Linked DNA regions of Mus musculus. The protein of the gene in region 1 interacts with the protein of each later gene in a pairwise test. Links are inferred from orthologs where the notes say so. Each region holds a gene or a part of one and is shown in the gene's direction. Other genes may lie near its edges.

Region 1 (5,341 bases):
CTGTCCAGAGCCACCCAGAGCTTTTGCACTGAGTGCTCTTGGCTGTTTCTTTCTGGTTGAGCCCAGGGCTGGTATGCAGGGGAGCTGCTTGAAGTGGTGCTAATTGTTCCAGGCCTTCCCATGATGGCCTGGGGCGGATCAGTCTCCTTTCCTAAGAAATGTGTGGGGAGACTTTTTTTGCAAATCCAGAAATACCAGACCTCAGTGAGCCTAAGGGCTCAGAAAGAGAAAAGAGGCGTAGGCTCTGGGTAGCAAGATAGAGAAAGGAATTTTGCAAGTAGCTATTGGGTCGGGTAAAAGAGGCCATCACTTGAATTTTGAAGCTGGAGGGGGGGGGACGGGGGGACGAGCTAACAGCAGTGTTTAGACCTTTTGCTTGGTTTAAATACACAGCTGCTCCGCCTCATCTGCTTCCACATAAAGGGCTGATTCTCCCCTCTCCTAGCTGGCCTTCATGTTTTTAAATCAAGACTTTGGATTCCTTTAATGAACCTCTCTCCTGACTCACTAGACATTCTAAGTACTGACTATTCTCACCTTTCAAAGTTTTCCTCGACCCTACTCCTTCCTTCTGGTCCTTTTCGGGTCCTCTTTAAAAGGAAAAAAAAAAAAGCAGGTTTCTCTAGTTCACCTGCAATTCCTTCAACCCTCTTCTAACCAAGTCCTTCTACTTCCCTCCACTGACATGGTGGGATTCTCCTGGCTTCCTTGCCTCTGCTCCTTCTGTTTGGAAAGTTATCCCTTGGTTCTTTACACCCACTGCTTTTATACCATGCAAGGCTTAGATTAAATACTACCTTCTTTCTCGCATTATTTATACACCCTTTTATCCTGCAGTTTATCCCACTGTGTTTATTTTCTCACTTGCTCATAATCTGTCTTCTTCCACCAATAAAGCCGAGTGTGTGCACAACTGTGCTGTATCTACAGCATTTGGCACAGTACTGGGCACATGCTGAGGGCTCACTGAACTGAACTAGGGAAAGAACGACGGAGTCAGTCACTATGTGAAGCTCTGCTGTGAGAGCTTTAGGAATGATGGAAAGCCCTCTGAATAAAGGCTCTTTTCGTTCTGTCCAGCTTGTTATTAAGGGGAGAGGTCGTCGGTGGGTCTTTCAGTGTGGTGGGAACCAAGAGATCTGCAATCACTGGCTGTACTGGGCTGTGCAGGTCAGCGAGGCCCCTGGAGAGGCTAGAGGCCACCTTGGCTGTCTCTCTTTGTTGCTCCCACCTCCCGGGCTCTGGCCGTGGCTGCCTGCAGTGACTCGTGACTCCCCAGCAGCCAGCGAAGGCCTGAGCCCGCGAGGGAGGGGGGCGGTGGGCGCCCCTGGCCCGCCCTCCGCGTGCCCTTCGGACGCTTGCAGGGGGTGCTCCGGGAAGCCGCGCCACCGCGGGCTCGCGGCCACCTCTCGCGCGCACTGTGCGCGCCTAGCCAGCGGCTTGGCCTCTCCCGAGGCGGGGCCCACGCAGCCGCGCCCCCTTCCCGCGCTTGCCCGACTGGGCTCCCGCGCGCGAGCGCGATCTGCCCGCACCGCAGCCCCTCGCACCACGGGCAGAGCCCAGGCGGACGCGCGCTCCGCCCTACCCCTCCCCGCCCCGAGTGGGCTGCGCCCGCCCCCGCTCCCGCCCCCGCCCCCGCCCCCGCGCGTGCTCCCTCCTCCCTCCCTCCCACCCTCTTGCGCCCCTCCCCGTGCGCCCCTCCCGCGCCCTACATCCACCGCCCGGCCGAGGGGGCTCAGTCCTGTGCTGCCGCTGTCGCCGCTGCGCTTTGGTCTCGGAGCTGGCAGCGGCCGCCGGTGCCGCCTAGACAGCTGCGCGGGTGAGCATCCCCAGACAGTAAGCCCGCTTTCCCTCCGCGAGTGTGTGTGTGTGTGTGTGTGTGTGCGCGCGCGTGTGTGTGCGTGTGTGTGTGTGTGTGTGTGTGTGTGTGTGCGTGTGCGTGTGTGTGTGTGTGTGTGTGCGCACGCCTCCGGCGTCCCCGGGGAGCCGCAGCTCGTGCTCCGTGGCCGCTACTCCGGGGCTGCGCGGACCTGCTGGGCTTGGGTACCTGCGGCCTCCGGCCTCCGCTGCCTCGCCCACGTTGGGGGCTGAGGAACCTGGGGCTCCAAGGTCCCTTAGGGTGCGTGCCTAAGCCTCCTCCCCAGGGCTTTCGCTCCCCTGGGGGCCGGGATGCAGGGGGGCGGCTTTGGGTGTTTCCTCTGCAAGGATGGAGGGTGGGAGTAAAAAGAGGGGGCTTTTGGTTTTCTCACCCAGGATGGCGGGCAGTGGGGGTTGGGCGAGGTGGGAACACCTTTGGTTTTTGTTTTTGGTTTTTTTTTTTTCTTTTTCTTTTTAAAGGATAGCTAACAGCAGTTGAGAAGAGCAGGGGATGATGATGACGATGGGGGGGGGGCTTCATTGGTTTTTACATTAAGGATGGCGCCTGTTGGGCAGGGGAGGAAGGTGAAACCTGCCTTGGTTCTTGGAGATGTTGAGGGAACTGCTGTGCTCCCTTTGGGGATGCTGGGGAGGAGGCAGTGGGAGGACTGGAGTGCAAGGAGAATGGTGATGGAGGGAGAAGGCTGGTCGTGGTTCTGCTCTCTGAGGGGGAATGGCAGTGATATGGGGGATGGGGGTGGGAGAGGGGACTGGATTTCAGCTTCAGCATGGAGGCAAGTGGAAGGTTCTAGCACTTAGGTTGAGCCTTGGTTGAGCCTTGGCAAAGTGGGTTAGGTAGACTGCTGGGTGTGACCTTTCAATTTCAGAAAGCTTAAAATTCCCACTAGATGCAGTTCTGGGCTCCTGGGAAGAGGTTTCTGCTTCTCAAGTTCCCATTGCTTAGTCTTCCACAACTGGTAGAGGTTTGAATGAGAAAGGCCAAGGGAAACAGTGAATGTGCTGTGTATTTTCTGCATTTGGGCCTTTCAAGTTTCTTGGGTTCATTCTGATTACAACGACACCTCCCCCCCCCCCCCCGCCATACACACACACACACAAACACACACACACACACAACTAGGGTAGCACATTGGGAACAGGAGACAAGAAAGTGTATGAATGTGATTTCAGATTTGGTTTTGGGATTTCCTGAAGGGCAAGAGTTCTGTCGTAGAAATGCAGCAAGAGTGGAACACATGTCTTTGCTGGAAGTCCTCTGTTCTCTTCATTTAAATGATGCCATCGGGACTATCTGAGCCTCTTTTGATTTGAATTTGGACTAGATCCAGTTTTCCTAATTGGAGCTATCATTTTGTAATTGCTTGTAATTCTCCATGTTATCAAATGTATTGCGAGTTTAGAGAATACTGGGAATATTTTTGTTATCTTGATTAAGGCCGTTTAAATATAAATATAATGTTCCTTGGAAATGAGAATGTTTACAGAGTAGCACAAGTTTAAATTATGGGCCACGTGGAATTGGATAAGGAGTTCTCATCCTTGCCCATCCCCAGGAACAGGCTACTCCCCATTCCTCACATTTGAAAAGGATTGGGGTTGGTAATTTTGTCTTTGGAAATGCGTGCCCATATTTTCTTAAGAATATGCATTAAAAAGCAATGGGCCTTAAATGTGCTAGGAATATAATGCTTCCCTGTTTCCGTTACATAAGGTTCCAATCTAGTCTACCTTCACTCTTTTAAAACATTTATTTACCATTTTTAAGGGCAAATAGAATCTTTATGCAACAGGGAATTTGTTAGATAGGCCAAGGTTTGTACAATGCACTACAGAGTAAGTGCACATTTTACTACTACCGTATAGAATCTGTAACCATATATGGCTTCTGAAATTCTAGGCTTCCATTCCATGATTTAATCTTTTTGGAGAAGGAAAACATTTTTAAAGCAAGTCTAGATTGGGGGATGAAATTTTGAATGTGCAGATTGGTAAAATACCTCTTATATGAGTTCTTTGGAGATGATTTAATATATAGTAAATTAATGGATCACCTCAATAAGATACTGACTTTGTTTATTGCAAATGTTAATACATAAGTGGGTCTACAGGATTAAGAAAAATGTATTTGCTTATGCTGTTGTATACTATTCTACATTTCTGTGGTGTGTATTCTGCCCCAGTGCAACAGTGAGACAGAACCGATTTTCACAATCTAAGTTTAGCCTGGTGTTTTTTGTCTGAGGAATAATGCTGAAGGTGGTGAAAAGGAACAGTATGTTGGTGGGAAAATGGGCCTTAAGTTGCTCTCTAAACAAAAGGAGCAAAGGGAGTCTTTTACTTGGCTTTTTGAGAACCTGTTGTAAGATGGGAGGAAAAAAAGATGAAGAACTTTCAGAAACGAACAGGACAATGAAGTAATTGTTTTAAATCTTAGAGAGTTCACTCTGTTATCTTTTTTTTAAAAGTAACTTGTCAATTGAACTTTTGCGTGAGAAACTCACCACCCTCGCACCTTCGGTTTGAAGAATTATTTATTCATTTGCTGTAGTCTTGGAGATGGAACCCAGGGCCTCCTGTGTGGAGCAGGCGCCTTTATCATAGGGCTATGTCCCTAGCCCAAGTTTAGCCATTAAAAACAAATAATTTGTTGAAGGCACGGCAGCTAATCTCCTGAGGCTTTGCCCTGTTTTCCTAATCTCTTCCTCCTGGTTCTCCTCTTCCCTCACCCCTCCTTTGACTCCCACCCCCTAGTGCCAGAAACATTGGCTTTTATAACCTTGTGGGAGTTGAACAAATGTTCCTGCTTGCTTGAACTTTAGTCGTTATCTCGTTGGCTGCTTTCCTTAACTTTTGTCTGCCCTTTTTTTTTTTTTTTTTTTTTTTTTGTTAACTGAACTATCCAGTTGTTTGGATTTGGGATAAAAGGGAGAATATTGTAATTATTTTTTCTTAAGAGATTTTTTTTTCTTTTAGCTCCTGTTGAACAGAGCAGGAAAAAAAAAGGTTTCTCCCTGCCCCCCCTTGTCTCTCTGCCTCTGCCCCCCTCTCTGCTTCCACCCCTCTGCCAGGACAGTGCGTAATTAAGCAAAATATATGACCATTCCTTTCTCCAACAAACATTTACAGAGTCACTGTGGTGGTGGTGGTGGGGCTCTTGTACCCAGATCCTGAGTATGTAAGAAATGGCTCCTGTTGTTTCTGATTTGATTAAGAAAAGAAAAGTGTAGACAGTTAATCTGTTGTAAATAATTAAAAGATGCCTAGTCTCTTAGATAGCCACAGAGCAACTGTGAAGACAATAAACATTCTTCAGGCCTACAAACAGTGAAATAATTTCTTTGTGGTGACTTTGCTTGGGACATACTTTTTCATTTGGGGAATACAAATAGATTCGGATTCAACTAGTCTTCTTGAAAGTATTTGCAAAATTGACATCTTTATTAAGCCTTTATAGACTTTGTTG
Region 2 (5,253 bases), on another chromosome or scaffold:
ACACTCAGCGTGCTGGGAGTGCTGGGGATTCTGGGAAAGGGATTCCTTTTTAGGGCCCTTCCACCATAGCAAACATCTCAATGTCAGCGGTATCGCAGCCTCTAAGGTTAGTTTTAAAACTCCTTCTTTTGCACAAGAGGAAACTGAGGTACAGATTGCCAGCCAGACGTCCTTCCAGCAACTCGGCTGGTTTACACCAGGTCCGTGAATAGAACCTGAGGCCCTGACTTTAGATTCTAGATTCTTTAACTCTTTTAATGTATTAACTGACATCCCCATGGTAGACACAGGTAGGCTCTTTGTCCTTCTTTCAAGCCAGGTCTAACGTGATATTCAGAATATACTGTTCTGTGGTTGACATTAACCCATTGTCATCTAAGAGCAAAGAGTCTGTTTGAAAGGCGAATGGCGTGTTCAGTAGAACAAGAGAAGGCTTTCTTAACAGGGGGGTATTCGTTGAAAGTGCTGTCCAGCCTGCCTCTCTGACTTCCCGCATAGCTAACTCATGATGCTATTGAGAGCTAGAGTTCCCATCCGTATATGAAAACCTAGCTTGGCACGGTGCTTGGTAGAACTAAGTCTGCCCAGCTGTGCTCTCAGTCACAGGGGAAATTAACCGAGACAATGTGGCTGGTTCGGGACATTCTGTTAAAAACACATGTGGTCTCATTAGTTCCTCTAGGTTTCAGGCTAAGTGACCAAGTCTGATACCTTCTGTGACTGTCTTGGATTATATTTTTGGGCCCATTTGCCATCTTAATAATCACTGTTCTGTTTACTCATGGTGTTCTGGGGAAGCCATTTGTCACCGTGAATCAAAACATTGTCTGGTCTATCTGACTTTCTTTACTTATGTTGCACATGTACAGTTTAGTGGTGTGTGTGTGTGTGTGTGTGTGTGTGTGTGTGTGTGTGTGTGTGTGTGTATTTCACAAAGCTATGAAACCATTCCCACACTCCAATTCCAGAACACCTTCATCATTGCCAGGAAAAGCTTTGCATTCATGTGCCTTCAGTTCTAATTCTACTTCCCCTAGCCTGTGACAATCACTTAAGTTATTTGCCAATGTTATATGTTTACCTAGGCAGGATATTTCATGAAAGTATGGTTGGATAACTTGACTGTATAACCTATATTTTATTGCTGGTTTCTCTCAAGTTCTATTCACATTGTGGCATATCTGTTTGTTCCATTCTTGTTTATATGCTTGTAATTTTAAAAAGAATATCTGTCTCTTGAAAATGTTGCAAGAGCAATGTATCCTAAAATAGACAGCTTTGCTATTCTTAGTAGAGAGAATGAAACAAAATATTTAACTGACTAGTTAACATTGGTGTAGAAATACAATAAAAATTTTTAATCTCATTAACTAAGAAATAAGGAAAATGAACAAATAATGTGGGCATAAAAATGATCTTCTTAATATACCTTAAAAAAAGTTTTAATAAAAATTAAGAGAGAAGCCAGGCTCATGTAGTATGATTTTCATCTATTTATTTCATCGCCCAGAAAACTCCGTGCACTGCTGAGTCGGCACACGCTTCTGTGGAACAGGCAGAGAACAGGAAAGAGCACGAGGCACAGCTGAATTTAGAAAGTTAGAGATGCTCGCATCTGCCACACGAGACGGACAGGAGAGTCCTTCCAGCAGGCGGGAGAGCGGAGCGCAGACAACAGATGTGAGAAAGGTCCCAGAGCTGTCAGGTTTCAGCATCCTTGTGCCGAAGTAGGGAGGCGCCAACATGATTGATGGTCGGAGCCTGTATAAAACCGGTCCACCTCTAAGCAGCTGCTTGTCACACTGACCCACACCATCTCTCTGCTGCCCTTGGGGTTTCTGTCAACCGCTGCTAGAAAGGAGAAAACCTTTTGGAGAGTAATCTTTTGTTGTGGTCATGCCAGAACCCACTAAGAAAGAGGGTAAGAACACCTATAAATATTCTTCTTATGGTCTCTAATATTTATTTTAGTATTTATTTTTAAACAGTTGTCTGATTGTTTTTTAAAAAAAGACTATAAAACAGTAGAATTACTGGGGTACAAAGATTTTAAAAAATGGGTGTGAAAAGACCAGAAGACTATATAATTAACTGAGAAATATCTGAAAAAGTTTATAAAGTTATATTGATTCCAATGATTAAATGGAAAATGTATTATTCAATTTCAAAAGGTCCTTAAAATGCTTACATGAAAGATGTTAACTGCTCACGGTAAGAAGGCTGCATTTTCAAGCTGTTTTTTTTTTAACTTTGTTTCTCTAAATTTCCACCTTGTGTTTGCAGTGTGCAGTGCTTGGAACATCGGATGTTTTTTCAAGCACTTTATAAATTTGGTCAAGTTTTCAAATAATAAGAATCTGTGATATTATTTGTAGTTTTTCTTCTTTTTCACAGAAAGGCATTTGAAATATACAAATAAGAATTCTTCTTTGATTGTCCTTTGGGAGCCCAGCTTTGAAATTTCTTGCTGGGAAAGAAATTTTTTCTGAATATGAGTGGTAGGTTGCACCTCTCCTGAGTTTTGCGGCATACAATCTTAAAATATGTAGCCTTTAAGAAAATAACTAAGAATAAAAACGAAAGACAATTAAAGAGTAGTCTTCATTAGAAGAAAAACTTCTCCTTTCTATAAAAAGATCAGTATTTTAAAATTTCTGGTTAGTAATGGAATTAAATTAGTGTTAGAGGTTATGAAAATAATGAAAATGTACATTCTCATTAATACATTAACTTCTAGTGGAAACATCTTTTATAACTATTACCTCATACTCTGGTTTCCCTTGGGATGACATAAATCTTTCACCCCTTACTAAAGACTGCAGAGGAGAGGAATACCTTTGAGTCTTGAGCCAAGTTTTTGATGAGCCAAGTTTTTGACAAGCCAAGTTTTTGATGTTTTGCTTCTTTGGAACTAATACAAAAATGCAAATATTTGAATCAAATCCGTTTCACTTGGGCTTTTTGAATCTTTTTTTTTTTTTTATTTCTCCTCTGTAAATAAAAGCATACTTGCACACACACAGACACACGTACACAGGCTTAGAGGTGAACATAAAAAACAATATTTAGACTTTTCATTTTTAATCTTGAAAAGTGTTTGTTGCCGTTATTGTGAAGAACTTTGCAAGAGATGCCACATGTTAAAGCTGAAGTTGAGCTACTAACCGAGTTCTGAAAAGGCTTTTAAGTATTTTTTCTTTATGTAATTAGGTAGTCAGTGCTGACAGGTTGGGGTGATCAGTTACAGGTTGGCCCTATTTAGTGGCAGGGAGCATTGATGGATGAAGTCTTTCTCCCAAAATAACCACACCAAATGCATGCATTAATATGGGAACTTAATCCCAACTCCGGGGGGAAATGTGTGTGTGTGTGTGTGTGTGTGTGTGTGTGTGTGTGTCCAACCCCTGCGAAAGTGTCTTCTTTGTAATGCAAATGATTTACATGAGTATTAAATGTCCCTTTTATCTGATGGGTCACTTGACCTGCCTCTTCAAGGCTTACTTGGATGAAACGCCTTTTATGGTTCCTAACTGAAAACAGAAGATTATTTTAAAACGGTCTGAACGGCATCTGTTGTTTGAAATCCCAACTGAAAACAACAAGAAAGCTCGAAGATTAATAAGTCAGGTGCTAGGCTGCGGAACCAATAAAGCAAATTCAATTATTCTGCCTGCTGGATGAAAGGGTTGGTTTGTGTTTGCTTTGACGACTTGATCCAAATCTATTCTGCATTTAGAAAGAATGAGATTAGAGAGCTTAGAAAGAAGATATAATTTTTTTGTACTCATATATATTTTATACATTTAAAATATAAATGCCCATGAAGACTAAAGTCTCCACAAGTTTCTTTTGCTGTCAAACTATGTTTTATAGTCTGTGTAGGGGCCCCTCCACCCAGGACAGTAATCTTATACCCATAGATTCTTTGCTTAGTTTAAATTTGGCTGGTGGGAAGTGGCATCCCCCAAAGCATCACTGATATTTTTAAAAGCCATCAAGGAAGTACAGCGATGTCCTTTTAAAATTCCCTTACCAGCAGAAATGATTGTTAAAGGAGCTGCATCTTTAGTTTGTCTTCATAAGAATGTCGCCTTTAAGGACCACTGACTTTTACACCCTGAAGAACGTGATAATTTCTGTGCTGCTCTAGCCTGTAGCAGCCACACACCCTGTAGATGGTTTCACAGTCAACGCTGTTGGCTTTAATTCCACTGAAGCCACCCTGTGAACGACAGCACCAAGAATAAAACATGCCTTGCTTCACAAACTACCTGTAGACACTCCTCCAAAGAACAGCTCCTCTGGCCTTGACGAATCTTCCTTCTCCTCCACAGCTGGGAACAGTAGGCTGGGAGTCTTGATAGGATCTGGCAAAGAGACCGAGTTTTCAGCACCTAAAGGTGCAAAAGACATCTCACTTAGATGCTTCCAACCTGCTGTGGCCTAGTTCATGGAATCTGGTGTCAGTTCTTCGGGTAGTGGGTCATTCTAAGGAAGAGAAAGATGGCTGCAGCTTTGAACCTCAAGGAGAAAATCTAGTGGGAAAGAATTAGTATATTTCCTTTTTTGGAGCCATGAAAATATTTTGGCTATCTTAAGGACTCCTTTGTAAACAGAAAGCATGTTTTCCCCTTGGTGATGCTGGGCACCAAATCCAGGACCCTGTGCATGCTGGGAATGTGCCCTACTATGGAGCACCCTTGCCCAGAACAGGAGTAACTATTTCCCATTTTTTTACTCTGCATTTCACCCATTGCATATGCATCTGCATAACTGTATTATTTATCCCATGGACCTATATCACAGGCTGTATTCATATAGAGCCTGAGGCTGCTGTGCTTTTTCCAATCAGATGGTGAGAGGAGGCATTGAAAGGAAGCTTCCGTTGGTAGGCATCTCCCAGAGGGCCTTGCCAATGGATTCACTTTTGTCTTAACTATTATGTAAGCCTGACTCTACTCCATTTCAGAGAGATCTATAAGGTGACTTCTGCTCATCTTCATGGATAATTGCCCCATGGGTCCTAATATGCAAAGACAGAACCCGCCACTGGAAAATGTCCTTTTTTCCAGGCAAAAGGAAACTACCAAACTAAAATTAATAAAGTTTCAATAACCTTTCCTCTTGGGATAGAATCTTTATTAGTTTAAAAATAATATGGGGTTGGTGAGGTGGCTCAGCAGACAAAGGCAATTGCAGCCGAGCTTCTCAACCGTGGTTCCATCCCTGAGACCTACACAGTGAAACTCCTGG
Region 3 (5,292 bases), on another chromosome or scaffold:
ATATACGCAATGTTTTTTTGTTCTTTGTTTTGTTTTTTGAATAGTACCTGATACAAAATGAGAACTTTCAAGTTTGGGCCAGAGACATGGTTCAAAGCTAGAGTGTTTGTCTCAGAGTGCACAAGGCCTTGGGTTCCATCCCCCACCCCTCAGCACTGTAAGGGGTGGGGGAGGGGAGATGCTAATGTTCTCTAAATATTCAAAAATTAAATTGAAGTAGGGTGTGGTCTCAGTCTCACAAGTCTATACTGTCTTCCCTCCAGAGACTTGGCTACAACACTTATGGCTAGCCTGAACTAGATTGTGAGAAATTCTTTCTCAACAAACAAGACAAATTGAGATAGGTGACACACTTACAAATAACTAAAAGCAACTTGAAAGTCTGTTTCTAAATGAATGAACCCCAAAGAAACTGGCCTTCCGAAATAAGTGGAGAAACCAAATTTTATCCTGAAAAACCGAGTTGTTCCCAATAAACACTTAAATGACCATGAATAAGGACCAAGTGTTATTAGCTAAATTAATGTTTTCATTGATACTCAAGTAACCTGTATCAAATCTAGGGACAAGATATTTATCTGGCATCTAGATTCAATGCTCTTACTGATTTTAAATCACTAATTCCTTCACTCATCCACAGAGCCTCGCTTTGTGGCTCTCAGACTTGGCTGAAACTCACTCACTACCTACCCCATGCAGGCCTCAGGCTCAAGCTAACCCTCCAACTTCAGCCACTGAAGCATCAGGATTTCAGACACGAATCATGGCACCGGGCTCACCTGACATCATTTCATCTTTTCCCCCTAGCATTTTAATGCTTAGTGACGGGTAATCTAACAAAATTTCAATTTAAGACTTATTGGCTGCCATGTTAATACAATGAGTATTTAATCAAGTGGAGGAAGAAAACAGACAGGCCCTTTCTTTGCTAGTACGAGAGAAATCTTCGTGTTTTGATAATGCCGATGGCGACTAAGCAGACCTAAGCCAATGTGGTGTTTAAGCGTCGGGAGAGAGACGAATGGCCTGGATGTGTAACCTTCAGCATCAGACGCTCAAAGGACAGGCACATTTCCAGTAACAGCTTCATTTCCCCGCGCGTTCCCCGGGGAAAGAGGGCGGCGAGTTCTGTTGATGGCATCAGCTGACATCACTGGCTGGGATCATGGGGACGCTGGGCCCACCTCAGCGGTGGCCTGACTGCATCAACCTCTGGGTTTCCCAGCTCCTGCCACGTGAGCCGCCCTAATATGGCCAGGCTCAGGAGCAGCCCAGGAGGGCTTCCTTTCTCCGGCTGAAGGAGAGAAAGCTAGAAACAAATGCTTAAAGTCAAACCCAACCTGAAGAAAAGCAAATGGGGATTTGGGTTCCCGCCTGGTCAAATGTAAATCCTTAGTCTGCAGAAGATCCAACCTTGGGTTATCAATCATTACATTAAAAAAACAAAGCTTTTGCCCCCGCCCCCTTCTTTGCTGCTCCTGAACCTTCTGCAGCCCTGGGACAGACCCCAAACCCCTCGTCCCCCTTTAATGACCCGAGAAGCCCTGGGGGCGGGGTGGGCTGCTGGGGGCCTGGTGTCGGAGCCTCTGGTCCTAGCAGCCTAGGGGGAGATGCTGCAAGGCGTGTCTGGGCTGTGCTCATGTGATGAAGGGAGGGAAAAACAAGGAGGGGGGAGGAGGCTACGAGGTGGCTTTTTTTTTTTTTTTTTCTTTTAAGGAGTTTGCCACGAGCGCGTCCCCTTCATTCTCAGTCCGGGTGTGTTCTCAGCAGGATCGTGGAGAGCGGGTGCTCCTCACCCCTTAGTCCCTGTGGTCCTGGGCGCACATCTCCTCGCCCCTCTGCTTCTCCGCGGTCCCAGGAAGACGGCTAGCCGGCGAGAGTAGGAAAGCCACTGAGCCATGGGTGCAGGCAGTTCCACCGAGCAGCGGAGCCCCGAGCAGCCGGCGGAGAGCGACACGCCGAGCGAGCTGGAGCTCAGTGGCCATGGGCCCGCAGCGGAAGCGTCGGGAGCAGCTGGAGATCCCGCTGACGCGGACCCCGCCACCAAGGTAAGCTGCAGCCACCTGCCCGGGTGGGGCGGGATGGAGATGGGGCGTCCCGGCGGTTTCCGCCTGCCACAACTTCCCGCCGGTACAGCCCATCTGCAAACTCGAGCGCAGCCCTGTGCAGTCTCTGGGGTCTTTTGCACCGGGGCGGGGCTGGCATCTTTGTGGAGGGTCTCTAAGGGCGGCGACCTAGCCAGCCCTTCTGCAACCATCATATCTGCCCTGACCGCCGTTCTCTAGTCTTTCTTCTCTCTTCCGGTGGGCTGGCAGCCTGGGGGATGGCCGGTGGGGCATCCGTAAGAATTGACCACGGCCAGGCTTCTTAAGCCACTTTACACACCCCTAGATCCCAGGTCCCAGAGTGGGGAAGTCGGGACCTGCTTTGAAGCAGGGCAAACCTAGGTTCTAGGTTCCCCGCCCAGTGTTGGCCTTGATACCAGCTTCCACCCGGGCCACCAGGTCTGGTACCCAGAGTCCTGCGGCAGCGCCTGGGACACCGCCTAGCTAATGCAGAGAGCCATGCATGTAGCTCTCTTCCAGACAGAGAGAACCGGAGCAGAAGCACGAATGGAGGGATAGGCAAAGCTCCTGGAGTCCTGTCTCCCTTTCTCACAGTTTACTGCCTGTGGACTCAGTTGGATAAACAAACATTGGAGTTAGAAGTTCTGCACGGATGTAGGAAAAGGCTTAAGTAAGCGTTCCTTGCACTCTTTCTGTCGAGTCCACTGTAAAGCTCTAGATATACTGCATTTTATAGGGATGCTTAGTTTGAGACTGGAATATTTGACCCTGCCCTGCCCATCACAGCCTTTACCTTTGTGTCTTGCTCTCATTATTGTATTTTACTTCTGTTCCTTTTGTTTTGTTATTGTTTAGGGTTGTTAATTAATTAATTTGCTTACTTGTTTTAAGACTGGGTCTCACTCTGTAGCCCAGGGCTGGTTTGGAACTCACTAGCTAGCCCAACTAGTGGCAGTCCTCCTGCCTCAGCCTCTCAAATGATTTCATAGCCACGCCCGGATGGCAACATTGCCTGTTGGCTGTTTTCCAGCACGTGTTTGTGAGCAAGAGTTCGCTCGGGTGGATTTAAGATAGTTTTACAGAAACGTGTTGAACAACCAAACAACTTAAAGGAAAAACCAACCAATTTCAGAATTTGGTGATAGAGAGCAGCGAGGACCTTTAGAAATGGGTCAGGAAGTGGAAACATCTTTGTGTGAGAATAAAACACTGAGTTCCAGGTAAATCTAACAGAGGTGGGACCTGATGGCTTTGAGCTCTTTATGTTGCCTAGTATAATGTAGGCTGGGTGGCCTCTCTTAACAGTTCCTGCCTCCAGTGTTTAACTCATCACCACTTATAAAGTCCAAAGTCCTCACTGCCTCAGATGCGCAGGTCTTCTGAGAGACTTCTGCCATCCAGTCAGTCTCCATCTTTTGGATGCCTCATTTACATTTTAATACTCCGTGTAACACTCTTTGGAAACTTCTTTGAGTACACCTGCCCTTAGTGCTTAGTTTGTGGGTACATTGGGCAGGTGGTGGTCAGGGCAACTGTTCCTTGGCACGCGTGCGTGGGGGTCAGAGGACAGCTCTGTGCGGTTAGTTTTCTCCCTCCGCCTTTATGTGGGTTGTGGGGCTGGAACTCATGCTGCTGGCTTTGCACAGCAGGCACCTGTATCTGCTGACTCATCACCTCACTGCCCCTCACCTTGCTTTGCTGGCGATCACCATCAACATAGCTCCAGTTTGGAAATATAGTCATTTTAAGATATAATTGCTAAAAATCTGCAGTCAGGAGACTTTTTTTTTAACTTTGGTTTTTATATGACGTCAAGGTTTATTATCTGTTTACAGTAAGTTATGAACCTTTCTTTTCTTCCTTCCACGCCATCCCGTAGCCTGCATCCCCCCTCCCCCTCGCCATCAACCGCCATCTTGAAACATCCAAGCAGTCTCTTTTAAAAGATGACTTGGTGACACCATTAATTTGTTGGCCCGCTTCCCAGTTATCAATTTGAAGATGGATCGATCCACATGCACGTGCTTGCTGCACACATACGTGTATGTTACTTCCTTCCACCCACAGGTTACCTAGGGTTGAAGACCTAAGACTTTTCAGTAGGATCTCAGAATTAAGAATGATTCAGCACCTCTAAGTCCTCTCTTACTCTTTCCACCACGCCCGGCCTATCTTAAGTTCCAATGCCTGACCTTAGAGGCTTCCATCACTCTCGTCTCCTTAGCCCCTTGTCCCCTATCCGCAGTTTCTACCTTTGTGGACTTAGGGGCTTTTTAACTACCATGCTCCACAAGGCGAAGGGCTTACCCGATTTCCTGACAAACTGTCCCCTGTGTGAGGCAAGGTGCATGGCGCGAAACATCAGGAACTTGGCAAGAGCTGATGGAAGAAGTGGTGGTCCTGGCCCTTGGGATCTCATTGGTGAATGCCAGCTGTCCCCTTCTCCGGCTTCACTTTTAACCTCATGAGGATTCGTTTTGTGTATCAGATAATGACAGTCTCTCTAGTACTTAGTAGATTGAGCAAATGATTTAGGAGGAAAATCAGATTTGAAGACCTGTTTGCTCTTTAGAAAGAGAGAGGTCTGGCTGGGTGTGGAGACTTGCATTTGCAATCCCAGCATTCAGGAGTCTGAGGACCACTGTGATTTTGAAGCTGATTCAATCTAGGCTACATGAACACACACCCCCTATTGGGGGGTGGGGTCAGATGAAACATTCACAGAGTTACTTATGGATTACATCATGAATATATAATCTTGATGGATCTGTAGACATTTTGAGGAGGTTTGCTATGTAGTATATAGTTTTTCCCCTCTTTTTTTATTTTTTTATTTTTTATTTTTGTGTTTTTCTTGAGACAGGGTTTCTCTGTGTAGCCCTGGCTGTCCTGGAACTCACTTTGTAGACCAGACTGGCCTCGAACTCAGAAATTTGCCTGCTTCTGCTTCCCAAGTGCTGGCATTAAAGGCATGTGCCACCATTGCCCGACAGTTTTCCGTCTTTAGATAGAATGATATCCTTTTTTCCTTCTTATTATAGAATTGATCATTAAAGACTTTTATCCTTGTTTTGTTTTGTTTTGTTGGTTTTTCAAGACAGGGTTTCTCTGTATAGCCCTGGCTGTCCTGGAACTCACTTTGTAGACCAGGCTGGGCTGGAACTCAGAAATCCACCTGCCTGTGCCTCCCGAGTGCTAGGATCCTTACATATATATATATATATAT

The links. The genes of interacting proteins can lie anywhere in the genome.
Region 2: the proteins of Fhl1 (region 1) and Mybpc1 interact in a two-hybrid assay, tested with the Homo sapiens proteins (2 studies listed by BioGRID and IntAct). The link is inferred for Mus musculus from reciprocal best matches to the Homo sapiens genes FHL1 and MYBPC1.
Region 3: the proteins of Fhl1 (region 1) and Akap12 interact in binary tests that used the Homo sapiens proteins (3 or more experiments, as listed by UniProt). The link is inferred for Mus musculus from reciprocal best matches to the Homo sapiens genes FHL1 and AKAP12.

Annotation. Positions count from the first base shown.
Region 1 is NC_000086.7:56,730,050-56,735,390, forward strand, and holds the start of Fhl1 (four and a half LIM domains protein 1), read left to right. Parts: upstream 1-1,711; 5' UTR 1,712-1,819; exon of another isoform or gene 1,820-2,119; intron 2,120-5,341.
Region 2 is NC_000076.6:88,601,569-88,606,821, reverse strand, and holds the start of Mybpc1 (myosin-binding protein C, slow-type), read left to right. Parts: upstream 1-1,669; 5' UTR 1,670-1,896; coding exon 1,897-1,921; intron 1,922-5,253. UniProt on the Homo sapiens protein: Thick filament-associated protein located in the crossbridge region of vertebrate striated muscle a bands. Slow skeletal protein that binds to both myosin and actin.
Region 3 is NC_000076.6:4,264,621-4,269,912, forward strand, and holds the start of Akap12 (A-kinase anchor protein 12), read left to right. Parts: upstream 1-1,708; 5' UTR 1,709-1,898; coding exon 1,899-2,048; intron 2,049-5,292. UniProt on the Homo sapiens protein: Anchoring protein that mediates the subcellular compartmentation of protein kinase A (PKA) and protein kinase C (PKC).